Oreochromis niloticus: one gene and its partner. Each later gene encodes a partner of the first gene's protein in a complex. Links are inferred from orthologs where the notes say so. Each region holds a gene or a part of one and is shown on either strand. Other genes may lie near its edges.

What was found. Proteins that work in one complex are often made in the same cells at the same time.
Region 2: fbxl13 (region 1) and drc8 share a complex: the UniProt entries of both Homo sapiens proteins name them as parts of the nexin-dynein regulatory complex. The link is inferred for Oreochromis niloticus from reciprocal best matches to the Homo sapiens genes FBXL13 and DRC8.

Annotation. Positions count from the first base shown.
Region 1 is NC_031972.2:56,431,139-56,438,964, forward strand, and holds the start of fbxl13 (dynein regulatory complex subunit 6), read right to left. Parts: upstream 3,049-7,826; 5' UTR 2,928-3,048; exon of another isoform or gene 2,814-2,927; intron 2,637-2,813; 5' UTR 2,579-2,636; coding exon 2,482-2,578; intron 1,941-2,481; coding exon 1,852-1,940; intron 196-1,851; coding exon 100-195; intron 1-99. Other genes in the region: uncharacterized protein LOC100695371, read left to right, coding at 3,151-3,167, 3,240-3,295, 3,364-5,267. UniProt on the Homo sapiens protein: Substrate-recognition component of the SCF (SKP1-CUL1-F-box protein)-type E3 ubiquitin ligase complex.
Region 2 is NC_031965.2:25,792,814-25,800,133, forward strand, and holds the start of drc8 (dynein regulatory complex protein 8), read left to right. Parts: upstream 1-4,171; 5' UTR 4,172-4,311; coding exon 4,312-4,336; intron 4,337-4,531; coding exon 4,532-4,622; intron 4,623-6,704; coding exon 6,705-6,777; intron 6,778-6,987; coding exon 6,988-7,064; intron 7,065-7,320. Other genes in the region: cgref1 (cell growth regulator with EF hand domain protein 1), read left to right, coding at 2,121-2,197, 2,348-2,436. UniProt on the Homo sapiens protein: Component of the nexin-dynein regulatory complex (N-DRC), a key regulator of ciliary/flagellar motility which maintains the alignment and integrity of the distal axoneme and regulates microtubule sliding in motile axonemes.

The sequences.
Region 1 (7,826 bases):
GAGCAACAATTAGGGGACATTCAGACTCTTGCTATTTAAAGTAAAACCATTTTAACAGCATCATAAATTAATCACAAGAAGTAATCTCTAAATGCAGACCTGACTCCACAACACGCCAGACTGGATGATAGATTTCCATGTGCAGCATACTTCAGCACAGTTTAGCAGTTCTTGTAATTCTAAGTACTGAAAGATCTGAGGATTAAAATCACAAATCATCTTTTTTTTTTTATCACATGGAAAAACAGCAGACAAATGACACTTGACTTTTCTCTGAATACTTAAAGGGAGTTACAGTAAAACTCTGGTTTATCATGTTGTTGCCATGAGGTGATGAAATATTACAGTTAGGTTTCTAAACTTTAACCAAACATTGAAGCATATTTAAAATAAAAACAATATTTTTGATAATACACAAATGTGGACATAGGATTTAGACACCATTTTTTGTATAAATACAACTTCCTCGCTTTTTGTTTGATGTTATTGGCCCTCTGACAGGGTCTGCTGGCACCTCTGCCCATATTTGTGGCTGCAGATGTGAACAAGCACCCAAAGCCAAACATAGTCATGCTGAAACACTGTTCATCGACCGAGGACAGAAGCAAATTCCACACAAACAGATGCTTCAACTGGTGAGTGGAGTCAGTGTTGGCGAGTGGCTATATTATATATATATATGCATACATGGACTCACAGGTCAGTTTATTAGGTACACCTTGCTTATACCCCTTTTTGCCTACAAGATATCCTTAATGGTGGAAATGTCTCATTTCGTTACATCCCAAAAGATGCTGCACAGTGGACTCATCTCAAACTGGTTTCATGAACATGATGATGTGAACTTTGTGTGTTGTCCTATTGGAAGCAGCTATCAAAAGATGGGTACACTGTGGTCATACAGGGACAGTGAGCAACAATACCCAGGTAGGCTGTGGCGTTTAAACTGTGCTGATTTAGTACAGAGAGTGTACCAAGCAGCAGCAGCCCGAGCAGTCAGTGTTGCAGAATAAATTGAGACTCAGAGCAGCCAATGGCTGTGCAAATTGTAGCCTCTGATCCCTATTGCCAGCTTACAGATGTGGCACCTGATCATCTGCTGCAAGGATCCATGTGTTGTGCATTCAGAGATGCTTTTCTGCTTAACTTGGTTTTGATGAGTGGTTGTTTGAGATACTCCTGCCTTCCTATCAGCTCAAAACAGTCTGGCCAGTTTCCTCTGACCTCTGGCATGAACAAAACATTTTCTTTTCCCCCACAGAGAACTGCCACACACTGGATATTTTCTCTTCTTTGGACCTTTTGCTGTAAACCTTAGAGATGATTGCGTGGGAAAATTGCAGTGCATGAGCAGTTCATGAAATGCTCAGACTATCCTGTGTGGCACCATAAACATACCAGTCATTTAAATGGCCTTTCTTCCCCAGTCTGATGCTCGGTTTGAATTTTAGCCCTGACCACGTCTACATGTCTAAATGCACTGAGTTGCTGCCATGCGAGATATTTGCATTAACAGATAGTTGAACATGTGTACCTAATGAAGTGGCCTGTAAGTGTATATACACACGCACACTCTGGTATGTATTTAGATTAAAGGAAAATGATCTGCAAGTGACTTTAACCAAATACCCTCAAAGAGAGTGGACTGTATGTTTACAGTGGAGTCTATTTAAAGAGTTATGTAACTGATATCTGAGCTCATCGCTGACTGCTCAGAGAACAAGGGGCTGTTGCAGCCTAAAAAAACCAAAAAACCAAAAACAGACTAGCCATCATCTTTCTGTGTACAAACTCCAGGCTAAATACAAAGAAAACTGAGACAAGAATGCTGCTCGCTGTAAGAGAATCTACCTTCAGTAAGAGGCTGTTTGGGAGCACAGAGAGTGCATCACATCCTTTTTCACTCTGCTGATGCTTGTTGTCCATTTCAGTAAATCCCACTTGTAACATCAGGGGAAAATTCACACACACACACACACACACACACACACACACACACACACACACACACACAAAAGATAAAAAGTGTTAATTCAGTTTTGAAGTAGTCTCCTGTCCCTTTCAAGTCCTATCTTTACACCATGGAGCAGTGATACACTTAAGGCTGAGGCATCTAGCTTTTAAAGGGGCCTCCAGTTTCTCAGTGAGAGCTGGAGTGTTCATTCATTTTAACTTAGGAAAATATACATTTCTGCACAAAAGTATTGACTCCAACCAACCAATCCAATCAATCATAAATCCAAAGATAATTTTGGTTTATGACAACTGAGTTAAGAATATAAGTAAAAAGGTGCACAGGGACAAAATGAGTCATGGCAGTGGGAGGATACAACGTGGGAGCATGACTTTTAGTCTGGCAAATTTCTTAACCTCAGTGAGTGTTTTCTCTGGCTTTGTACAGGAGGGAGCGAGAAAAAAAAACAGCCAACAGACCTCAGTATAAATTCTTCAGGAAAAAAAAACCCTAAAATGTTGACCTACCAGCTTTCATCCTCTTGTGTAATTTGACCCAGCTCAGCAGTTTGGTAAGTGCAACCTGCCAGCATTTCCTCTCAAAATGCTTTTTTGTCAAGTCCATCTGCAGAGTCAACTCCAGGGTATCTCTCTTGCTCTGTGCAATGAACCTCTTCCACTTCCTGTCACCCAACAAGAAACAGCTCATCATTAATTCAGCAAACAGGGAGGCAGGCTGTCAGGAGCCAGGCTTAACTAACAAAGGATGGGAATCAAGTAACAAAAAAATAATAATTTATCTAATTTATAAAACAGTTTATTATGATTATAAAGCTAAAGCTGGACTGACAAAGACTGACCGAGTGAAACAGAACACCCTGATAACATTACTTATTAACAGTAAGAGAAAGTCTTTAGGTTCTCTGAAGCTGAGTTACTGTTTCGCAGTAAAAATACAACCAGATCAAATTCACCGTGCACCACCAGTTTGAGGACCTACAAGAACTAACTCAGCAGCAGCTGCTTTCAATAACTTCGATTGCAATCAGTGGAAGCAGAATGTGAGAAAGTTTTGTGTCCCCTCTGACATCTTTCCTGCCACTGTGGCTTCACTCAGAGCATGAGTGATTATTTTGCTGGTTTGTAGCTTTAATCATTATTCTGCTGCAGGTAGAGTCTGTGGTTGAGCTCAACCTCATGGCTCGTTCATTCAGGTAAATAAAAATGTCATTTTATTCTCAGTTCTTTTATATTTTTAGTATTTTAGTCTCTTTTTTTCTTTTCAGGCTCTCCTGGCTTTGCACTCTGTTGTGGAGCTGCTTGTGCTTTCCTCCTGAAGAAGGTAAGAATTTCAGTACTTTTATTTGCATAACCGACCACAAGTTTAATGTGATGTTTCTTTCCTGATAGGTTACAGTAGTGCACATGGCTACTATCTCTATGAGAGCCCGCAAACCTCTAGCAGATTTCATTCTGGACAGTCTTTGAATACAAACAATGAGAATGTTGGACGGCAAAGCTTTGTTTCCCGTCAGCCAGAAGCATTTACTTATGATAAAGGACAGGATGCTACCGCTGAGATGAAGCAAAGCCAGCCTGATAAGTTTCACGGGGCCTCTTCTGCTCCTCTTATAGAGCAAAATGAGCAGTCTGGTTATCACCATCCCTTTGACCTTTTAGTGAGGGGAAACATGCAGGAGCCTGTGAAGGGTGTCGCTTTCCCCACAATGAGTCATTTAAAGGAGTTTATAGAAAACATGAAGCATTCCTTCTTAGTACCAGGAAGTGACTTGAGTAGACATTTTGAAACTGCACGGGAAAAAATGAAAACTCTCGGAACATCCATGGACTATAGACCAACTCCTGAAAAAGGAGGCACTGCCTCTGGTGACAGCAAGAAAAATAATGATCGGATTGAAGAAGATGCCAACTACCAAACGCCAAATAAACTCCTCTCTTTCCCTGATCCTGTCGACTCCTCTGCAAGTCTCATTTCTTCCAGTGTTTATGACAACCAAAAATTTAGGCCGGGCACCACTTTCTACCCACACGATCATTTAGCAGCCACAGGTCTTGCTTCAAGAAATTTGGCACACGGTTTTCCCTGGGGAAACAATGACTTATCTGTGAGTGTGGATTCAGAACAATACAAACCACCAAAAAAAACACAATTTCCCTCCAGCTCCTTTCACAGGCAGGGTTCTTCCTATAGTAAACATGTGACTGCACCCCCTGTGAACCCTGCAAACAGCCCATCTCAAGATTTCAGCCAGTATTCAAGTGAGACCTCAAATTTAACACCTTATTGGAAGGATATGCTAAATCCAGTACATGTCTCTCAAAGTAGAGATCCTTTAATGAGGTACTGGAGACCACCCAGTGGCTTTGAACTCACTAAAGACTTCCACAGAGCAAGTCAAACTAATGTCCCATCTGCAAAAATCCTACCATCTGTATATTCCTATGGTAAAAAGCATCACCCCTCCATGCAGCATTATTGGCCCAAATACAAGACAAGAATAGGTGCTTCAGTCCAGGCACGTCAACCTACTGAGAGCAAAGAGTTGAGGACTGTAAAATATGCTCCCAACGTCCACTGGCCTCCATCAAGTGGTTCTGTCTCTTTAAGCTTTAATGACCCCTTACCCCAGTGGAGAAGAGGTCACATGGGTTATCAAAGCAGCCCACAATACCCGCAAATTCCTCATTATAAGCAAAAACAGATGGACAGAGCTCACTGGATGTTTACCGCCAAACCCTTGAGTTTTGTTCCCGGATACCACAAAGTCAGTGCTGTTCCCTTCGTCCTAAATGCCCATGCAAAACATGAGAATTCAAACCTCTACAATCAAAAACTCCTATCTACCTTTCAGAAACCGCATTACAATAGATTGAGAAATCCACCCCAGAGTGGGCTCGCATCTTATGGAGTAAGAAACCCACTGGGCTCATTTTCTAAACCACAGAGGCAAACTGTGAGGTCTGAACGTTTACAGCCTTTCATGCAACCAAACAGGCACATGCCTCGAGCCAGTGTGAGTAGACGGCCCAGACACTTGGCCAACTGGCGTTCTGAACAGCAGCCTAAACCTACAGGTTTGATGCCTAAGTGTGTTATTAAGAGGAACACAAAAAGCCTTCCTCCTCAAGAGTCCCGTAATACATCTCCATCATCTCTAAATCCATACGTTAAATCTAAAAACCGCTTCACACGGGCCGTAGCATATCTGTCAAAGGTCTGTTTCACACCCCGTATGGTGCAAGGGAAGAATAATAACAATCAGTGGAGACTGGTAAGAAGATGGCGTGAATGAAAGGACATGACAACTCAGTGTGCAGGACCGGGAAGAATGATGAACATGTTTTTGAAGGTATGAAAACCAAAATGTTGTAGTATTTTTGTCTGTGAACACATCTTCTGTCCTGGAAATCTGTCCTTTAAATAGACAACAGAGCATCGCACTACTGAGTAAATACTAAAACTGAGCACTGAAACTGGACCAACCTTATTCAACTTACTAATGATTTAAAAAAAATTCAATTTAATTTTATTTAGATGGCCACACAACAACATCTGCCTTGAGGTGCTTTACACTGTAACATTAAGACCCTGCAATAATACAGAGAAAACCCCAACAATCAGACGACCACATTTTGAGCGAGCATTTGGAGACAGTGGAAAGGGAAAAACTCCCTTTAAACAGGAAGAAAGCTCCAGCAGAACCGGTCTCAGGGAGGGGTGGCCATCTGCTCCAACTGCGGGTGAGAGAGGGAAGACGGGACAAAAGACACGCTGTGGGAGACAGCCAGAGATAGATAAATAATAATTAAATGCAAAATGGTGTATAAACACAGTGAATGAAGAAGTGCAGCCTAGGCCTGTTGCAGTGCAACTAAGGGAGGATTCAGAGTCACCTGATCAGGCCCTAACTATATGCTTTATCAAAAAAGAAAGTTTTAATCCTAATCTTAACAGTAGTCGGTGTGTCTGTCTCTTGAATATAAACTCAGAGCTGGCTCCACAGATGAGGGAGCTTTTTATTTACCTGAAGGCTTGATTTCATAAGCATATTGACCACTAATACTAAAACTACTGTTGCAGACTTTCTCTTAGATATTGCAAAGTTTCTCCAGGATCACGTGAGCCGGTACAGCTTCAGAATATAAGACATTGGATGTAAAATGCATTAAAGTAGTGCAGGTGACTCTGATCGTGAAATCGAGCTTTTAGGTCCACTGAATCCAATTCGTCCAATGAATGCTTTACTTTTCCAATGTCTGGATTTTATTTGCAGGTAACATTACTGACAAGTGGTCTATGTACATAGAAGTATTCGTAATCTTAATGGCCATTCTCTAAAACCTAAAAACTGAAAAACTTAGATTTAATTTAATAGGATTGGTCTTCAGCAGCAAATCCATTTCCTGTTCTTCTACCTACATCGACTATTTCAGTAAGAACCTGAAAGTGTTACAATTTTGACTTGTCTTGATTGCCACATTTGATGGTAGTCCTCATTTTAAATCATCATTGTAAGGATAAAAACAGTTTGCTGGATATATTAGCAGTCCAGAATAAATTCTACAGTCTATATCCATCTAACTTTGTGGACAGAAAAGCAGCTGTAACTGTCTTATAGGTTGCATTTATTTTACAGTTGGCTTCATGTTGGAGATGATGTAAATACTGGTGTGAAGATCAGTCTGAACTGACTTTATGGTTCTAAAACAGGATTAAATATTTAAAATGAGTTTTTAAATCCAGGCTGTAGATGGTCTGATTATATTCTGTTTGTAATTTATACTGCAATATGTTCACAGTCAGACATCATTTTTAAACGAAAAATTGATTTCTGAAATGTGTAAATTGATATTGTTTTCCAAAAGCAATCAAGGTAATCTGATTTACAGGAGAACTACAGGTTTTTTGTTTTTGGTTTTTTTAATCCAGATTTGTTCATTTGCTTGCATCTGTATTTGGTTCACATCAGGCTGCAAGTAAATAACAAAACTTAAATGTGGTAAGATTCCTGCTTTATGAGTGGATGATGCTGACTCTTTTTCTTTTTTGTTTTGTGTTTTAAAGATAAGTCTCCCTCTACATTAAGATGCATTCATATTCCTCAGTCCAGTGAATAAATGGAGACTCTGCTCTTTGCCTGTTGCCATGGTGAATCTGGTGCTGGAGCTCCGCTGATGATGGCTATTTTTTACTGCTTATGCACAGGCTTAACTTGAGCTGAACATATTCAGCTGATTGAACTTTCTAGAACCACAAACCCAGAGTTTAGCAGCTCAGCATTAATCAACTTGGAGTTTGTTGAACCTGCTTCTAAAACAGATCCCATTAAGGCTGTAGTTGAAGTCTTGCTTTTGAAAGTCACTTAAATGGTAACTTAAGCATCAAGAAAACCTAATTAAAGCCACTTGAAAAGCACATTAGTGGGCAATGTAAACAAGCAACGCATGAGTCATTGTTTGCATGTGCTTGAAACACGATGAAGTGTGGGTGAAAGGGGGCGGAGGAATATGAACATGATCTTCTCTGGACCTCTTCTGGTGGCCTAACATGTCTTCAGGGGTTAGGAGTAAAGGCTAAAATCAAGAGAAAGTGAGCCACCGTGTGTTCGTTTCAAGAAAAACCGGGGGTCTACGTGCCAGTGCACAGACTGGAAATGATTAACTGTACTGCTTCAACATGGCATAAATGAAGCTGTCATTAAAGCCCGTAAAAGTAAAATAAATTGGGATATCATCTTTTACATTCAGCGGGGGGTTGGTGGGGGATGATCTGAACTTGTTCTCCAATGTTTATCATTGGCAGTGAGTCATATATGAAAGGATTGCTTCCTTTTGAAAGTAAAAATGATCAA
Region 2 (7,320 bases), on another chromosome or scaffold:
TGTACAGTCTGCTGTTATTGAACATCTGAAGTCATTTCACTCAACAGCAGCTTTCTGACTTGGCTGTGGACTTTGGCTGCTCTGACGTGCTAATGATGTGGCCTGTACTATAAAATGATAAGATTACATGTACCTAAGAGCTCATTTATGCTGCATTAATTTCCTTTATGGGGTTCTCCTCACCACACTGCAAATATTATCTCAGCACACATAGCTGCTACTGTGCTGAAATAGTTTGAACTTGCCTGTAATAAACTGTTCAGAGAACAAAAGAAGAAATATCTAACCACACGACAGATGCAGTTTCTTTCCATTTGTTGGTAAGATTAAATAATGTGTACACGCTATCATACTTTCATCTTAAGGTTATTGCATGTAAGACCAGATAAATGTTAGCTGTATGGAATAGCAGTTGGAATTTACACCACCCTTAGTAAATAATACATGTTGGTTCAAAGCAGGCCTTTGTGCAGCCTGAATCAACATTTGTAAAAAGATTATTCAAGCATTTAGAGTGTCTCACTGTTGCAACATTGCTTCATTTATGGCATGTGATGGAGTGCATGAAGTTTAAGATGTTAAAACAAATGATGCCCTGAGAGCAGTCTCGGTTCTTACCACCAGATCTTGCCTTAATACCTTTTTAAGTCTCATGTAAAGCTCATGACTCATAGCTGATCCAAAATTCAGGCCAAAGGTGTTTCCTTTAGAGCACAACTGAGTTGCCTTCAACACAGCTGCTTCAATCAAAATCTGTCACAGATCATCATTGTTACCATCTACTTCATGTAAGATTATGAAAGGTAGAACCGCCTGCTACGACGTGTTATGTGTTAAGAATGTTAAGAAGTTTCTATTATTATATTAAGGGTGTGTAACCAGTTTAATACCTGTTCACTAGATGTCAAGAGTCTATTCACAAATATAGGAAATCATTTATAAGTACACATCTGCCATCTGCTTCACTTAAGATTACATATACAAGTACATAGCACATGTACCTAAAATATGAGTTTAAGGCATGTGCCAATGAACATTTCTCACTTCACAGCCTTGATTTAAAAAACAGTGCTATTGGACTTCTATGGACGAATTTGTCATATTATTTCCAGCAAGGTGAACATATTTATATTTATATCTATCTATATATATCTATATATCTATATCTATATGTATGTATATATATACATATATGTGTGTGTGTGTGTGTGTGTGTGTGTGTGTGTGTGTGTGTGTGTGTGTGTGAATAATAACATTGCTGAGCAACACGGTGGCGCAGTGGCTAACATCTGTTGTTTCACAGCAAGAAAATCATATGTTTGGCCCCAAATTCCTTCCACAGTCCAGCAACATGAATTTGAGGTTAATTAGTTTATTGTTATTGATTGAAAAAAAATCACATTGCAGAATTTTTCATCAGTCATTAACAATAAAAAAGAACAGGAGCTGAATTGGAGTTAAATAAAAGTGCGCACAGTGATGTCAGGAAACTCATTGTTTAATTTCCTTAAAAATTATATTCAGTCAGCTCACTTTCACTTCTTGTTTTTCCGCTCCCCACCTTTTAATGACTTTACACTCTGTCAGTGAGTCCTGTAACTGTGCAAGTTTATGGTTATCTGTCTGTTTGTATCCAGGGTGTACCCTGTATCTCGCCCTGTGTCAGCTGCGATCAGCTGCGATCAGCTGCCATCTAAAGCGGTTAATAAAATTGGTTATTTTTATTGCTACATTCTAGATTTTTTAATGAATGAAGAGGTATTGATTTCTCTTCTAACCTCTTCTCACAACATGAGACACAAGTTATTTTGTACATCACTGAACATGATTGAAGGGGATCTTTAACTTCTTTTAAACATGTTATAAATGATTTAAAGAGCTGAAACAGGCTCTGTGAGCAGAAGTCTGTGTGCATCTGAACTGAAATAGTGAAGTCCAAGTTTTTGGAGACGGGAGCGTGGGGTTTAGGAGCTTGAAGAGTCTGGCACAGGGTGCTTGAGTGTTATACCCTCTACCAGATGGCACAAGGGTGGAAAGAGTCTGTAGCACATGGCAGTTGCACTACCAATCTGCTTTCTAACATTTTTTCTAAACTGTGCTTTTTGTTGTGTGTACCACAGTTTGAGACAGAGTTACATTCAATCAAGCCTGAAGAATGGAGGTCAAGGAGGACCAGAAATCACCACCTGGGAACAAGGTAAACAATGCCTCTTACCAGTAGATATTACACTGATGGGTTCTGACTGGGATCACCATTGCCAAATAATGTAGACTTTATTAGTCAGAATCTAATAAAGTCTTTTTTATTTGATTGTATAATTGTGAATTGTGCTGTGCTATGTTCCAGAGGTATTCTTCCTGTTTGGCCTTTATGATTATGATCGCAGTGGGTTCTTAGATGGCTTGGAGATGATGAAGCTCCTCTCAGATTTTTAACTCCCATCATATACCTGGAGCAGAGGCCAGTGAGCAGGTTAGCAGGAGCGACTGTATGTGTGTGTATTTGAACTGACAAGGTGTTGGCCTTTTTCCTTCACTCTGTGATATTTGTGTATGTTTGCATGTTGCTTTCAGGTGGTTTCTATGGTAGATTTCTTACTACAGACTCAGGATCTAAACCAGGATGGTCTGCTGGCTCTATCTGAGCTGCTCTCCCCTTCACTCACTCACACACAGGTACTGCAAATGTATTGGAAGTACTGTTAATACTGTTCAAGCTTGATGTAGTTTTATTCACACCTTTATTATATTTGGCTGCAAAAACAACACCTCATCATAACTTTCTACCTTAAAGGACCCAAGCAACAACAATGCACCTCAGCAGGAGCAGGAAGCAGTAGTGGAGGAACAGCTATCAAACGCTATTGCTAACGTGGACAGCGTCGGTGCAGTGGAGCAGAGAGAGGAACAGATTCGTGAAGAGATTCAGCTTCAAGAGGATGTACAAGGAAAGGAAGTTGAACCCATAAGGCAAATGGATGAATATGAGAGACATCAAATCCCAGAAGTCACAATAGAAGATCTGGGGCAGGACCACAATATCCCTGTACATCAGGGCCAACCAGAGATATAAAACACACACACATAAACACACTAGAGAAAACACCACTCTGTCATCTAGGCCTCAGTCTCTTATGTACTGTATGGGATAGCTTCTTAATCAGCATCCCCAAAAATGGTCCTCTTCTGGATCTGAGTTCTGAGTTTCTGCTAATGCACAATTCACTGGACTGTTAAACATGTAGATGGGTGGTCAAAAGGTCTTTCTGGTCAAAATATTTCTGCCACTGTATTGGGATGCTCAATGATTCCCAGAGCTTTTAATGGGTTAAAGGCAGAATGTAATATTAGTTGCAACAATAAAACAGAAGCCATGATTAAAAGAGACCTTTTAATTTTTTTTTTTTAAGTTGGAAAATGTGTTATTACTTTAATTGAATTTATTTACCATTTATTTACCATTTTCTGCCATGATTATTTAATGTATTTGTTTGCTTTATACCACCAGTTTATGAGCTACTGCATCATTTGACTGGATGTTACTTGGATGTGTCCTCCTCCCCAAATGTCAGTAGACACTGTGGATTCATGTACATGTGGATGGTGGACTTTCTGCACTTTTAGCTGTTTTTTATAATGTTTCAGATTCACAGTTGGTTCAGCTGAAATGAAAATTCGCTCTCCTTAATATTATGTCAGCAAGTAAAATGAGTACATATTGAATTCACTAGACAAGGAGTATGAAAGAAAATAATCTTTATGGTGGCCCCATTGAAATAAAATGAAAAGTAATGTAAAATGCTATCATTATCTACATACTTGAAATGTTTTTAGTGTGAAAGAGTGTACTATTTGTTAATTTTTTAAATTTTTTTTGCTAATTTTTTAAACCATTTTATGCATTTATAAGGCGGAAGAAAATAAATAAGAAACAAGTATTTCTCTGCTCTCTTTGTTTGTTTTCAGTCTGTCTTGTGTTTAAATGTGATACTTATAGATTATTTCATAGAAAATTAACAAAATCCTTGGGAAAAAACCTTTATAGTATGAAAACACATTTTCGTGGCTTCATTATATCAGGAACTTCTGAGGGGTCACGTTGTTGGAAGGCTTTTTTTTTAATCGAATGACTTCTTCAGCAAGACGGTGAGCTTTAAATAAAAAATAAATTAATTAATAATGTGTTATTAGTAGCTCTATGTAATTCGACAATAAAGGTTTTCTGGCGATTAAAAGATGGCAAACGTCAGAGGCGTTTAATTGGTCTCCTACCATACTGTTGCTGGGCAACAGAAAAGCGACCGGACAAACATGGCGGAGAACAGCAAAAGTGCAGGTTGGTAATAGTTACTTTCATTTTCAGTTTGTCTACAAATTGAACATCTTGAGACCACAGTGAAAGTTTCAGTCTAAAACTCTGTGCCGACCCGTCATAGTGGCTGATCTTTGATGAAAGTATTGTCATTATTTCCTCCAGAACTAAGCCAGCTAAGCTAATGCTTCACTATGTGTTCTTTATTTTGTCTGTCAGAGGCCACCGTGCTTAATACCAAGATCCTCAAGAAGCTCAAAGGCGCTTTTCAAGCCTTTGACACCAAGTCTGATAACACAGTGGATATCAAGTGGGTAAAACAAGACAAGCCATTTACTTTTATTACCGGAAAGATACTTAATAGGTACTATGAAGCTGATTACTATGAAGATCCAAAGGACCTTAAACGTTTTAACAAGTACACAAGATGCAGTCTTGTGAGAAAATCTTGAGCCAGCCCTCATTTCTTTGCATTTTGTTACCAAGGAGCCAGATTTTATTGTAATTTTTAGCAATAGCTCTTTCATTTTTGTTCCAGTGTTGCACCTTTTTTTTTTTTGCGACCCCACTTAACACTTACCTGTGAATCACTTTAGCATAAACAAGACACCTACCTCTGGGGACCAGAACCAGTGTTGTGTCAACACCAAAGAACTCAGCAATCTCAAAACAATTCAGCAAAGAACCTGTTTTAACGGTTACTGGTCACCTTCTATTAGCAGACTGTTGCAAAAACACATAATTTTTTCCCCATTTCTTTAGTTGAATCAGCAAAAAATTCCAAAGATAATACATTTGAAAGGCATAAAATAGTATTTTTGCACCAACAAGGTGATTCCCAAAGATTAATGAAGGGAAACAGAAAGAAAAGGATGAGGTATGCCAAATTACACAAAAACTGTTTTCACATAACCTTGCCATGAAAATACAGGGATCTTAGTTTTATTTTGAAAACAGAAGTGCCATGGAGGTTTTTGATGTTTTTGCAAGGACTGGGCCAAATATCGGTGGCAATCATAAGCAAAGTACAGCTGCATTTCAGTCAGTGGTGTTGGTGAATTTATTCAAAATTCCTGAAATTATGAATAAAGAAAAGTACTGACAGATTTTGATTCACCGTGGAATACCATCTGATTGGTAAGAGCTCCCATTTTTCATCAACGAGTCTGACCCCAAACACAGCCGATGCAGTAACAGCATACCTGGATACAAAAACACAAAATGAAACACTGTCTGCCTGGAGAACTATTCCTGAAGACTACAAAATTACAAGAACACTGACTTTCAAGAGAGTTAGAATTACACAGTGTCTGTATTTCCACTTATGAATGTACATGTTTCAATAAATGGCTGTAAGAAATATTCTTAAAATCTCACCAGAGCTTTGTGCAACCTGAGGAACTCTAATCAGCCACACAGATGAAAACATCTGGCAAACAAATGTGCATGTCCTTTCCCTTCAGCGACAGTGCAGCATGTTTTCTAAGCCAAGTGTGTGCTTTCTATGTAAAATTAAACTAAATGGTAGAGTAGAATATTTTTTAATTAGCATTATTAGAGGTCACAGCAGCTTTAATTCCTAGATATTTTTTTTACTAACTTATGCAGATGCAGAAAGGTCGAAACACAGCTGTTTATTTAAATCTGCTCTCAGTAGGTTTCCTGTCTGTAAGTTTTTGAATTTCTCACTGGAGGTTTTAAATAGAGTGGAAACTGCACACAAAGTGTCCTCCCTGCTAAGGTAACCAGACTGTATATCTTTTATACAGTCTGACAAACTAAACATGGGCTTGGACAGTTTAGGACATTTTGCTAACCTAAAATTGTTGGTCTGTCCAGGGAAAAACTAATTATTTAGGTTAGAGATTTGGCATTTAGTTTGACAAAAACAAATATAAAGTATTTGCGTTTCTAACTTCATTTCTACATAAATAACATGAGCCTGAAAGTCAAGTGGCCCAATCTCTGAGAGCTGACTACTCCTGGCTTCAGCCACACTTCCTTTTCTTTGTTTTATTTCCATCACATTTGCTGAGATCTACATAACCTGTGAGTTTCCCTGTTAGATATAGCATAGGTGTCCATCCTGCAGTGTGGACTTCTGAATATTAGAGGCAATAAAAATGTGGGACTCAAGTCTCAAGACATACAAAATGCTGTGTAGTTCAGATTACGCAGCTGTTTCCACTGGTAAATAGTTTGGTTGAAGTGGGTTATTTGGACGCTGGCTGTGAGAAATAAAGTTTGTGGTTTGTCTCAAGGCTTTCCACTGGCTGAGTGGGCTTTAGTAGGACATTGCGGTGAGATGGTTCATAGCACACAGGAATTAGTGAAACTAACTGAAACTGTCCTTTTAAATACTTTTAATGCACTTCTTGTTGTTGTTCTCTAGGGAGATTGGCACCATCTTCTATTCACTGGGTTTCTTTCCCACTCAGGCAGACCTACAGAAGTTCACATCTGAGGTCAGTATAGCATCCTCCCGTAGTCTGGTTCTATTTTGGAAGATCAGTAATGGGATGTGCAAACAGGGTTCTGACATTGTGCATTTCAGTAATGTTACAGAATCTCCTGTGCCATTATGTGACTGTTATAAAATCCTGGGTAACATTAGAAGCATTATTTTTGTTAGAAAATTCAAAGCAACCCCCAACAGCCTGTTCCTGTGCAACCAGGTGGAAGATGAGCGCTCAGGATATATCCACTGGGACAGATTCCTCCCAGCCATGACTAAAGTGCTACTGGAGGACAAGTAAGACAGTTCAGTTATATCATTGTATAAAGAAATTTCTGATTTCTGTGGATGAGAAGAAGGCTGAGATGCAAATAGGAGTTTGTTAAACCAAATTATCTATTATACAATGTATTTTTCTCTTATACTGAAGGCACACATGAATGCATATCATTACTATGAGTCTTGTGATCAGTCTGGTAAAGATTGTGCAAACCTCAGTACTCTATTTTTGATCACTGGTGTTTCAGGTCAGGTTTGTTCACCACTCAGGAAA